3 linked regions of the Oryctolagus cuniculus genome follow. The main gene of each other region encodes a partner of the protein of the gene in region 3 in a complex. Links are inferred from orthologs where the notes say so. Each region holds a gene or a part of one and is shown on either strand. Other genes may lie near its edges.

The links.
Region 1: the proteins of PPP2R2A (region 3) and PPP2CA are in contact, whole or in part, in a cryo-EM structure (PDB 9C6B), measured with the Homo sapiens proteins. The link is inferred for Oryctolagus cuniculus from reciprocal best matches to the Homo sapiens genes PPP2R2A and PPP2CA. Residues at the interface, in NP_002708.1 of Homo sapiens: Tyr86, Leu87, Lys88, Ser89, Ala173, Asn174, Ala175, Glu190, Asn201, Leu202, Trp203, His204, Ile207, Thr208, Asp209, Arg210, Ser211, Phe212, Asn213, Ile214, Val215, Asp216, Met256, Ala260, Leu261, Asp263; in NP_002706.1 of Homo sapiens: Arg89, Tyr91, Val126, Tyr127, Gly128, Asp131, Arg135, Cys266, Tyr267, Arg268, Arg295, Pro298, His299, Val300, Thr301, Arg302, Arg303, Thr304, Pro305, Tyr307, Phe308.
Region 2: the proteins of PPP2R2A (region 3) and ARPP19 are in contact, whole or in part, in a cryo-EM structure (PDB 8TTB), measured with the Homo sapiens proteins. The link is inferred for Oryctolagus cuniculus from reciprocal best matches to the Homo sapiens genes PPP2R2A and ARPP19. Residues at the interface, in NP_002708.1 of Homo sapiens: Lys18, Gly19, Ala20, Asp23, Asp24, Asp29, Ile31, Thr45, Asp47, Gly49, Arg51, Val53, Phe55, Val73, Thr76, Gln78, Glu81, Pro82, Glu83, Phe84, Leu87, Lys88, Ser89, Glu91, Glu93, Tyr178, His179, Asp197, Leu198, Asn221; in NP_001293124.1 of Homo sapiens: Lys42, Pro43, Gly44, Ser46, Phe48, Leu49, Arg50, Arg52, Leu53, Lys55, Lys58, Tyr59, Phe60, Asp61, Lys75, Pro93, Asp97, Leu98, Pro99, Pro103, Leu105, Val106, Ala107, Ser108, Lys109, Leu110, Ala111.

Annotation. Positions count from the first base shown.
Region 1 is NC_091437.1:22,493,049-22,495,572, reverse strand, and holds the end of PPP2CA (serine/threonine-protein phosphatase 2A catalytic subunit alpha isoform), read left to right. Parts: intron 1-42; coding exon 43-161; intron 162-1,073; coding exon 1,074-1,146; 3' UTR 1,147-1,880; downstream 1,881-2,524. UniProt on the Homo sapiens protein: Catalytic subunit of protein phosphatase 2A (PP2A), a serine/threonine phosphatase involved in the regulation of a wide variety of enzymes, signal transduction pathways, and cellular events.
Region 2 is NC_091443.1:75,215,544-75,218,908, forward strand, and holds part of ARPP19 (cAMP-regulated phosphoprotein 19), read right to left. Parts: intron 2,670-3,365; exon of another isoform or gene 2,493-2,669; coding exon of another isoform or gene 2,478-2,492; intron 2,381-2,477; coding exon 2,258-2,380; intron 1-2,257. UniProt on the Homo sapiens protein: Protein phosphatase inhibitor that specifically inhibits protein phosphatase 2A (PP2A) during mitosis. Inhibition of PP2A is enhanced when ARPP19 is phosphorylated.
Region 3 is NC_091433.1:47,876,414-47,880,070, reverse strand, and holds part of PPP2R2A (serine/threonine-protein phosphatase 2A 55 kDa regulatory subunit B alpha isoform), read left to right. Parts: intron 1-52; coding exon 53-230; intron 231-1,363; coding exon 1,364-1,528; intron 1,529-2,379; coding exon 2,380-2,549; intron 2,550-3,657. UniProt on the Homo sapiens protein: Substrate-recognition subunit of protein phosphatase 2A (PP2A) that plays a key role in cell cycle by controlling mitosis entry and exit. Involved in chromosome clustering during late mitosis by mediating dephosphorylation of MKI67.

The sequences.
Region 1 (2,524 bases), on a different chromosome or scaffold from region 3:
GTATAAAGGATTAAAGTTGATTTTAATTTCTTTTCCATTTAGGGATATAACTGGTGCCATGACCGAAATGTAGTAACAATTTTCAGTGCTCCAAACTATTGTTACCGCTGTGGTAACCAAGCTGCAATCATGGAACTTGATGACACTCTAAAATACTCTTTGTAAGTGTTCACGCCCAGTGTTTCATCGCCATTACTGAATATTTGGTTTTACTGGGACATTTAAGGGTTTGTACAATCATGTTAAATTTTAACTTCTTCTTGGGACTTATAATATATTGAAACAGTACAGTAGAAACTAATATATTGTACACAGATCATAATATGAATTATTAGAGTTTTAACTTTTAAGATACAGTTCTTTAGTTGCATTAAAGTTTATTTAGTTGGCAGTCTCTCAAACCATCTTAGCAGGAACCCTAGTTTTTTTTTTGTTTTTTGTTTTTTGTTTTTTTTTAAGCAGAAACCCACTCTTAAGGAATATTGTTCTTAGGAAAATTATAAATTTTTTAAAAATATTTACTTATTTGCAAGTCGGAGTTACACAGAGAGAGGAGAGGCAGAGAGAGGGAGAGAGAAAGGTCTTTGAGCTGCTAGTTCACTCTCCAATTGGCTGCAATGGATGGAGCTGTGCTGATCCAAAGCCAGGAGTCAGGAGGTTCTTCCGGGTCCCCACAAGGGTGCAGGGGCCCAAAGACTTGTGCCATACTCTACTGCTATCCCAGGCCATAGCAAAGAGCTGGATTGGAAGTAGAGCAGCCCAGACTTTTCATCCCAGGGGGGATGCCGGTGCTTCAGTCCAGGGCGTTAACCCTCTGCGCCACAGCTCCAGCCCCAGGAACCATAGTTTGTAAAAGCATCATTTTTGTGGCTGAAGTTGCCCGGGCTCTTTGCAGGAAAGTGCAGTTAGAAGCTCTTTTGACTGCATGATTTAGGTATAGGTAAGCTCCTGTTACATGAGACTGACCTAGAATGGAATAGGAAAAAAATGTAATGTTTAAAAATGAATGCCAGTGATTTGGATTGCTAGTGCATGGCTGTCAGAATGTAAACAAGGAATCTCTTGTTTTTCAGCTTGCAGTTTGACCCAGCTCCTCGTAGAGGCGAGCCACATGTTACTCGTCGTACCCCAGACTACTTCCTGTAATGAAATTTTAAACTTGTACAGTATTGCCATGAACCATATGTGACCTGATGGAAATGGGAAGAGCAACAGTAACTCCAGAGTGTCAGAAAAATAGTTAACCTTCAAAAAACTTGTTTTCACACGGACCAAAAGATGTGCCATATAAAAATACAAAGCCTCTTGTCATCAACAGCCGTGACCACTTTAGAATGAACCAGTTCATTGCATGCTGAAGCGACATTGTTGGTCAAGAAACCAGTTTCTGGCATAGCGCTATTTGTAGTTACTTTTGCTTTCTCTGAGAGACTGCAGATAATAAGATGTAAACATTAACGCCTCGTGAATACAATAACTTCCATTTAGCTATAGCTTTACTCAGCATGACTGTAGATAAGGATAGCAGCAAACAATCATTGGAGCTTAATGAACATTTTTAAAAATAAGTACCAAGGCCTCCCTCTACTTGTGAGTTTTGAAATCGTTTTGTTTCTTTTCAGGGATACCATTTAATTTAATTGTATGATTTGTCTGCACTCGGTTTATTCCTTTCTCAGATCTCACCCCTGTGTTGTTCTTTGTTATTGTCAGAACCTGGTGAGTTGTTTTGAACAGAACTGTCCCTCCCTCCCGTCTTGTAAGATGATGTTACTGCACAAGGGCACTGCAGTGTTTTTCATAATAAACTTGTGAACTAAGAACTGAGAAAGTCAGATTTTAATTGTATCAATGGGCAAGATTGGTGCTGTTTATTAAAAAAGATAATTGATAAATTTGTAGAATTCTAGGTAAAGAAAAATAAAAATCAAGGCCACTGCATAATCTCTGATAACGCCTTCATATTCTTCAGATTAACTTCCGGCTTTATTTGTGTTCCGTGTAATACAGTTTGTCAGATCACTGATGGGCTCTTTGTGGGTTCCTCCTGTATGTTAACTGGTCTGTATGAAAGAAAATGTGCACTGCTTTAGTAAGACGAAATCATGCAAGTTGATTTCATTTTGGAGTAAAACTTAACAAATTAAGGGTGTATCTGCACTGCGGTTTCTGGTTATAAATATTTTGCTGTATGTATTATATGAACTCTTGAAAATGGTTGGCAGATTGGTTCGTTTTTAACAAATATTTGTACATTATTTGTGGACTTTCTTGATCTTAAATTTGTCTCAGAAAGCTATTAACGTACTAACTTGTTAAGTTCTTTTAAATGGTATTAGTGAAACCGCATAGAAAATTATTGTTGGGTCATGGTTTAGTGTTCGTTGGGTCATGGTTCAGTGTCAGTGCACGTTCACCTGGAGAGTGGCACTTGAAGTGATAGCACTCAGCATTGGATGGGTTCATCCACTTTTATCCTTTGAGTAGGATTAAAAGTTAAATTAAGATTTGATATTTTTAACCA
Region 2 (3,365 bases), on a different chromosome or scaffold from region 3:
AGAAGATGGCTCAAGTGCTTGGGCCTCTGCCACCTATGTGGAAGACCAAGATGAAGCTCCTGGCACCTGGCTTCTGGCTTCAGCCTGGCGCAGCCCCAGCCATTGCAGCCATCTGGGGAGTGAGTGAGCAGATGGAAGATCTTTCTCTTTCTCGAACTCTTTCATAAAAATAAATCTTTTTAAAAAATCATTTTATTACGTCACTGTATGTGTGCCATACAAAGCAGTAGCAAGGAAACTTGGATCTGGTTCTTTGTAGGCTTACTGCAGCTTCATTTCTGCATTTTAAAATGGGTAGAGGAAAAAAAAAATCTAAGAACTTTTGATGCACTGTATTATATTAAGGAGCTGCTTCTGAGTTCAGTAGCCTCTGGAGAGCAAAGCAATCTGACAAAAGCACAAAGTGAGAGAGTTAACACAGTACAAATTTCAGGCAGATTCCCCGATGTAATACATTCAAGTTTCTGATGACAAGTAAGCAAAAGTTCATGAAAAGGGGATCTCATTTAACTGCAGATTAGACTACTCTGCTTAGGCAAAAGGAATTAAATCCACTTAGTGTGGCCTGAGAAAAAACTAAAACTAATGTTTGACAATTACAATTTCCCTAAAAAGAAACAAATCACTACAAAAGGCAGGGAATCTGCACAGAGAGATGAATAAAGACAACATGACAAAGATGTCAGAGAGAAAACTCAATGCTTTTAGGTAGAGTACTGAACTAGATTAATGTTTCTCATATTGAGATTCACAGATAAGAGACTACAATTGTCAATGTCTAAATTTTGTTCAATTTCTTAGTGAAGATATTTAAGAATTAACAAAACATTTTCTAGCTCATCTAGATGGTGATCTTATAAAAGTCTTCTTCCCTCAAAATTTAGAGGTTACACTTAATAATGGTATTTACAGCTGCCTTGATAGCAGCTGCCCTGGGACTTCACCAATTCCACAAATACAATACTATATAATCCAACCCTCTCAGATGACAACAAAACTAAAGATTCTGAGGTAATTTGTCAAGCTTGCTAACTATTCTGATAAAAGAAAACATAAACATAGGACCCTATAGTTCATATTTTTAAAAAACTCAAAATTTTATTTCAATCCTATAAAAGGATTTACTGACATTCTGGTATAATACAAATAGCAAAGAGAAATAGTTTTGTAAACACTAATAATCAAATCAGAAATCCAGTAATTTAATAAAGATTATATAATTTATTTCATAACTGGTACATTTATATTTGCATAGCTAGACCCAAAATTAAATTTTCATTCTGCTTTTTCTACTTATCCCTTATGACCTTTCTAACTCCAAAAATATTTAAAACTACCAAATACTGACTTACCACAATTAATTTAACCATTTCTTTGCTGTTGATTAGTGTTATTGCTTTTAATTATACTTAAAGCTATAAAAAATCTCCAAACTTAAAAATGTTTCTTCATATTGACTTATACCCTTAGATATTTCATAAAAGATTACTCAGAGAAAGTGAACCTTTTTGTAAATTCTGCTCCATACCCCTTCTGAAAGTAGAAGTAGTAATTTTAAATGTTTAAACACAATAAAGAACGCATCAGTGTCACTCAATTTCAACCTCCACAGGTATTTTTTAATATAAAATCCTGCATCCGAGAGCACTGTGTTCTTGTATATTTTGAAGTTCTCTTTTATGCATTATAAATTTTAACTTTCGTTTTTGTAATATTTTCCCTCTGCATTACATGTCACAACAGCACATAGGCTTTACATTTTATTTTTGTTATCATTTCTCCCTGTCATCTCATGATTTCAAAACTGTGAATGTCATTCTTTCATATAAGAGAAAAACACTACCCACTCTTTTTTTTCCACTTTAAAAATAATTAGTTCTTTTTGGATTTGATTTGGGAAAATAATTCCTATATGATTACAGCTAGCACATTCACATTCTTGAAAGCAGCAAATACTAGTATTTCTAAGGCATTCAACTTAAGGATAAGTATGACTTGGAATCTCAGTCAATAAATAATTCTCTTTCATAAGTAGCATTTCATCCTACCTACATGCTTAAAATAGCTTTTAATTAACTGTTAAAGAATTACAGATTCCTACAGACATTTATGAAATGAACAGTGTAAAGTATTGAAAAAAAATTATACGCATACACACAAAGGCACAGATCTATACAGCCACACACTTGTTTTACAATCCCTGATGGTAATCAAGTTCACAGGGCTTAAGTATTTGAGATTACATGTGACAACTTACCCCTTTCTGCAATCGTTTCCTTAAGAAATCTGAACCTCCGGGCTTTTGTCCCAGATGAGGATACCTTGCTTTTAATTTTGCTTCTTCAGCTTTCTCTGGACTAGTCACTTTATCTTCCATTTCCTGAAATAATTTTAAATAAATTACTTCTCCGTTACAATTAGCTATTTAAAATAATTCACCTTTTACCAACTGGATACTGATTCTACTGGTCAAGTACCAAGAAACACAGCATCTGACTGAGAAACCCAGCACAGAAGCCTTTAAGTCATCTCTGTCTTGTTTCAAATGATCCATGTGATAGCTCTATTATAGCTGTGATGCATGTGTAACACCCCACACACTGGATAAAAATATCAAGATAGCTCAGCTCTGGAGTCTTGCTTGCCATTACTTTCCAGTCATGTATGACATATTTATAGTTAGTCACCTTCTATGGAACTCTTCAGCTCTTTGCCTATATTTAGATAATTATTCTAGCACTGTTAAAATCTGAAAGATCTGATTACCTGTTTATTCGAAGTTACACATGATTTGAAGCTCCTTAAGTCCTCATATATGTGTATTTTATTGCCTAATCTTCTGTTTAGAATGACAATTTCTGTTCATGTCAAAGATCCCATTCTTTAATACAGCAAAATTCTATTTTCTGACAAGAATGTAAATATCTTAAGCTTATTCACTTTTTTTTTTTTTGGACAGGCAGAGTGGACAGTGAGAGAGAGAGACAGAGAGAAAGGTCTTCCCTTGCCGTTGGTTCACCCTCCAATGGCCGCCGCAGCCGGCGCATCGCGCTGATCCAATGGCAGGAGCCAGGTATCCCATAGGGTGCAGGGCCCAAGCACTTGGGCCATCCTCCACTGCACTCCCTGGCCACAGCAGAGAGCTGGCCTGGAAGAGGGGCAACCGGGACAGAATCCGGCTTCCCAACCGGGACTAAAACCCGGTGTGCCGGCGCCGCAAGGCGGAGGATTAGCCTAGTGAGCCGCGGCAATGGCCAAGCTTATTCACTTTTGACACCAATCTTGATTTAGTTTAGTTTCTGTCAAAGGGTCATATTGTACAGGGAAGCAGTATTATTACTTTATGTTAAGTACTACAAAACAAA
Region 3 (3,657 bases):
ATTTGAAGCAGTGAACCTTTTGTAATTTATTTTTCATGTGTCTTATTGACAGGTGCCAGTCTTTAGGCCCATGGATCTAATGGTCGAGGCCAGTCCACGAAGAATATTTGCCAATGCTCATACATATCACATCAACTCAATTTCTATTAATAGTGATTATGAAACTTATTTATCTGCAGATGATTTGCGGATTAATCTTTGGCATCTGGAAATTACAGACAGGAGTTTTAGTATCCATTTGTTTTCTTGTTTGACGGCATACTGTGCTCATGTTGGATTTATTTTTGTCTCTTTAATGTATTTGATTGCTCCTTTGTATGGTATCTTAGTATGTACATAATTAAACACTATAGGAAAGTTATTTGATAAAGGATAAAGAGTATAATGTATTGATGTAAAAATTAAATTCATGAAATTTTAAGGAATTTGGTGATTTGGGTTTTTATAATTTAGTGTTGAAATTTTAACTAAGAGTAATATAAATTTAATTATAAAAATATTCTTAAGATTGGAAAAAATTCTTACAAAGCATGATGTAGGATAATATAAAATTGATAGAAATACTTCTTTGAACTTCATTTTTATTATTTATATTATCCTCCTGGAAATTTTCTGTCCATATACATGTTCATGATGTTAACATGTAATTGGATACATGTATATAATATATAAGTATACAAGTGCCTACAAATACTTGTTTTTTTTTTTTTAATTTCTTTAAAATTTAAAATAAATGTTAGGAACTTTTAGTAGTTAATATGTATATTTTTGAAAATTAAATTGTTATTCTACCATCAGTGTATGAAAGACTTATTTTCTTATGCCTTTGCTATGAAGCTTTTAATTTATCTGCAGATAAATTGTAGTTCATCAGAAAATTTTCTTCTTGCATTATGAGTAGATTTGAGTATCATGTTTACTAGCAATTTATATTTCTTTTTGTTCTTTTTCTAGCTTTCCCCACTGTATTTCTCTGTGTTGTGTGTATGTGTGGTTTAAGCACCTTTTGGTGTTAACTAGGTGTATTGTTTGTGATGCAGGTAGTTTCTCTTTTTTACCCTCTTGGGGTTTTTGTTTGTTTTGGGAATTCTGTTAATACTTTAAAGGCAAATTTATAAATAACTTGTGGGATTTGTATGCTACATAGCCAGAAAGATCTTTACATTCTAAAGTGATTTAAAATTTGCAGTATTTTAGAAGATTTATCACTTTAGCAGTAAATTTTTAACTCTCTCTAGGGTTTATACTCGAGTAGAATGTAATTCCAGATAATACTTGTGTCTGGATCTGTGAGCGGATTTTGAGAAATGTAAAATTACATTTGCTTTTCTAAGTGTAAATTCCTTAATAAAATGCTATCCAGATATTGTGGATATCAAACCTGCCAATATGGAAGAACTAACGGAAGTAATTACAGCAGCAGAATTCCATCCAAATAGCTGTAACACGTTTGTATACAGCAGCAGTAAAGGAACTATTCGGTTATGTGACATGAGGGCATCTGCCCTCTGTGATAGGCATTCTAAATGTAAGTATTTCACTTTTCTTTAAAACGATGACACAGTCTATTTGTATGAAACTAACCTCAGACATGATGACTATATTTACAGAGGTTTACAGATCTTAACTTTTATACATAGGGCCTCTTTTAACCTTTATTAAACTCCCTAACTCTTCTTGGGGCATCACATGTTACTCCACTGAAAGAACATAGTAAGGCTCTCCGGGGGCGTTTCTTTTGATTCCCAATGAATATATTTTTAATGGAGTGCTTATTTTTAGGAACTTGAGGTTGAGCTTTTCAACTTTATCTTCAAATAGAGCCATTCCTTTGCTTTCATTCCCTCCCCATTCCTTCCTTTTCCCCTCTATTTTGAGCTTCCTAGGAATATTTGGTTCAGAGGTTTTCTTGGCTTAAAAAAAGCATTTGAAAACCACTCGGTTAAAAAGTTAAGGGGTTGCAGTATTCTGTTTGTATTATTGAATGTTTTTAAAACTCATGAAAATTTGGTGTGTGTGTATTAACTGAAACAACTTTATGTGGCCACCAGAAAATAAAATTGAGGTATGATTTGGATGAGTAGGATAGTGTTCTTCTTGTGGTGGTAGAGGTCAAGTCAGTTAAGTCTTGCAAAGTTGAGTCTGCCAGCCAACCTGGGGCACTGAAGACAGAAGCCCCAGCAAGTCTGGTTTTTAACCACATGACTCTGAAGAAGCTTTGAGGGAAGTTAATTGTTACAGCCAGAGAGGTATTTTTCAGTTCTTTATTAGCCTGTCATTTTATCTTGCTCTTAGGAAGTTTGTGAGTGGCTGTTTAAGGAAATGCTTTGTCTAAGCCAGAATATTGTACACGTTGCCGTTTTTTTTGCTTGTTTTTAGTGTTTGAAGAACCAGAAGACCCCAGTAACAGGTCATTTTTTTCCGAAATCATCTCCTCTATATCTGATGTAAAATTCAGCCATAGTGGTCGATATATGATGACTAGAGACTATTTGTCAGTCAAAATTTGGGACTTAAATATGGAAAACAGGCCTGTGGAAACATACCAGGTATTTGCAGTTTTCTCATTCAATGAGCATGTACCCTCTTTCATGTTTATAAAGAAGAACTTTGTACTAGGTGTACAAAATATTTTTTGTACTCACTATTCTACAGTTTTCACTGTTAGACATTTCCCCTCAAAGATCCAAGAGTGTGTTGCTTTTCCATATGTTAAATTTTGTATAACTTAAAAGATTGTGTTGTCATTCAATTTGCTGTTAACATATGATTTGGCTGTCATTTGATTCAAGAGTGTCTTTATTTTCTGCTGCGGTGTACATTTAAGGCAGAGAGAAAAGAGCATTAAAAACCAGTAAGGTCCAGGCAGGATGAGAATTGGAGAGAATGGCAGGCCTGCTTAGAGATGTGCATGCTCTGATTGGAAGATGTGCAGTAATCACTGAAGTGGAGCTTCAGTCTGGCATGCTGAGTTGAGTGAGCTCATTACTGGCTTTCATCTGATAGCTATAGTCTTAACATTTAAAGAACAAGGGTTTGAAAACCTAGCAGATGGCTAGCAGAGTTGCCTACTTGATCAATTTTAGGATGTCAGTTGTGAATTCTCTTGTCTTTCAGCTATTACCATTATTCCCTGTTCTCTGCTTCAGAAATAGAAAAGGAGTGAAAAAGCACACAATTGTCACTGAGTGGGAACAGCAGGAAGTTGTGTTAGGCCCTAGATTGGTGTAGAGAACACTTCACCTAGCCTTAGGAGTATGCAGTTCAGTTTATAGGTGATATCTTCTTAATGTGTTAGTATCTCAATAAAATTAGAATGAAGTTTCTTTCGAATCTCCTGTGATAAGCATAAACCACTCAAGATTCTTTTTAATGTTATTTGGAATTTCAAAGTAAATGCTACATTGAAACAAAAGCAATGAGATAAAATTCTGCTTTGTTTTCAAAGTACATTTGTGTAACTGCCAAGATTGATACATCTCCAAGTTATTCTCACCACCAACCTGTTGCCATTGAGAATAGTTGACTGGAATCTTAGCTTTCTACCCTTCAATAGTTTGGTGAGAAACCTTGTACTGTGTGCATTCTTATTAATTTTTTTGTATTACATGTTCACATTCAATCCTAATTCCACATGAGTTGGAGTTCCTCTGTATT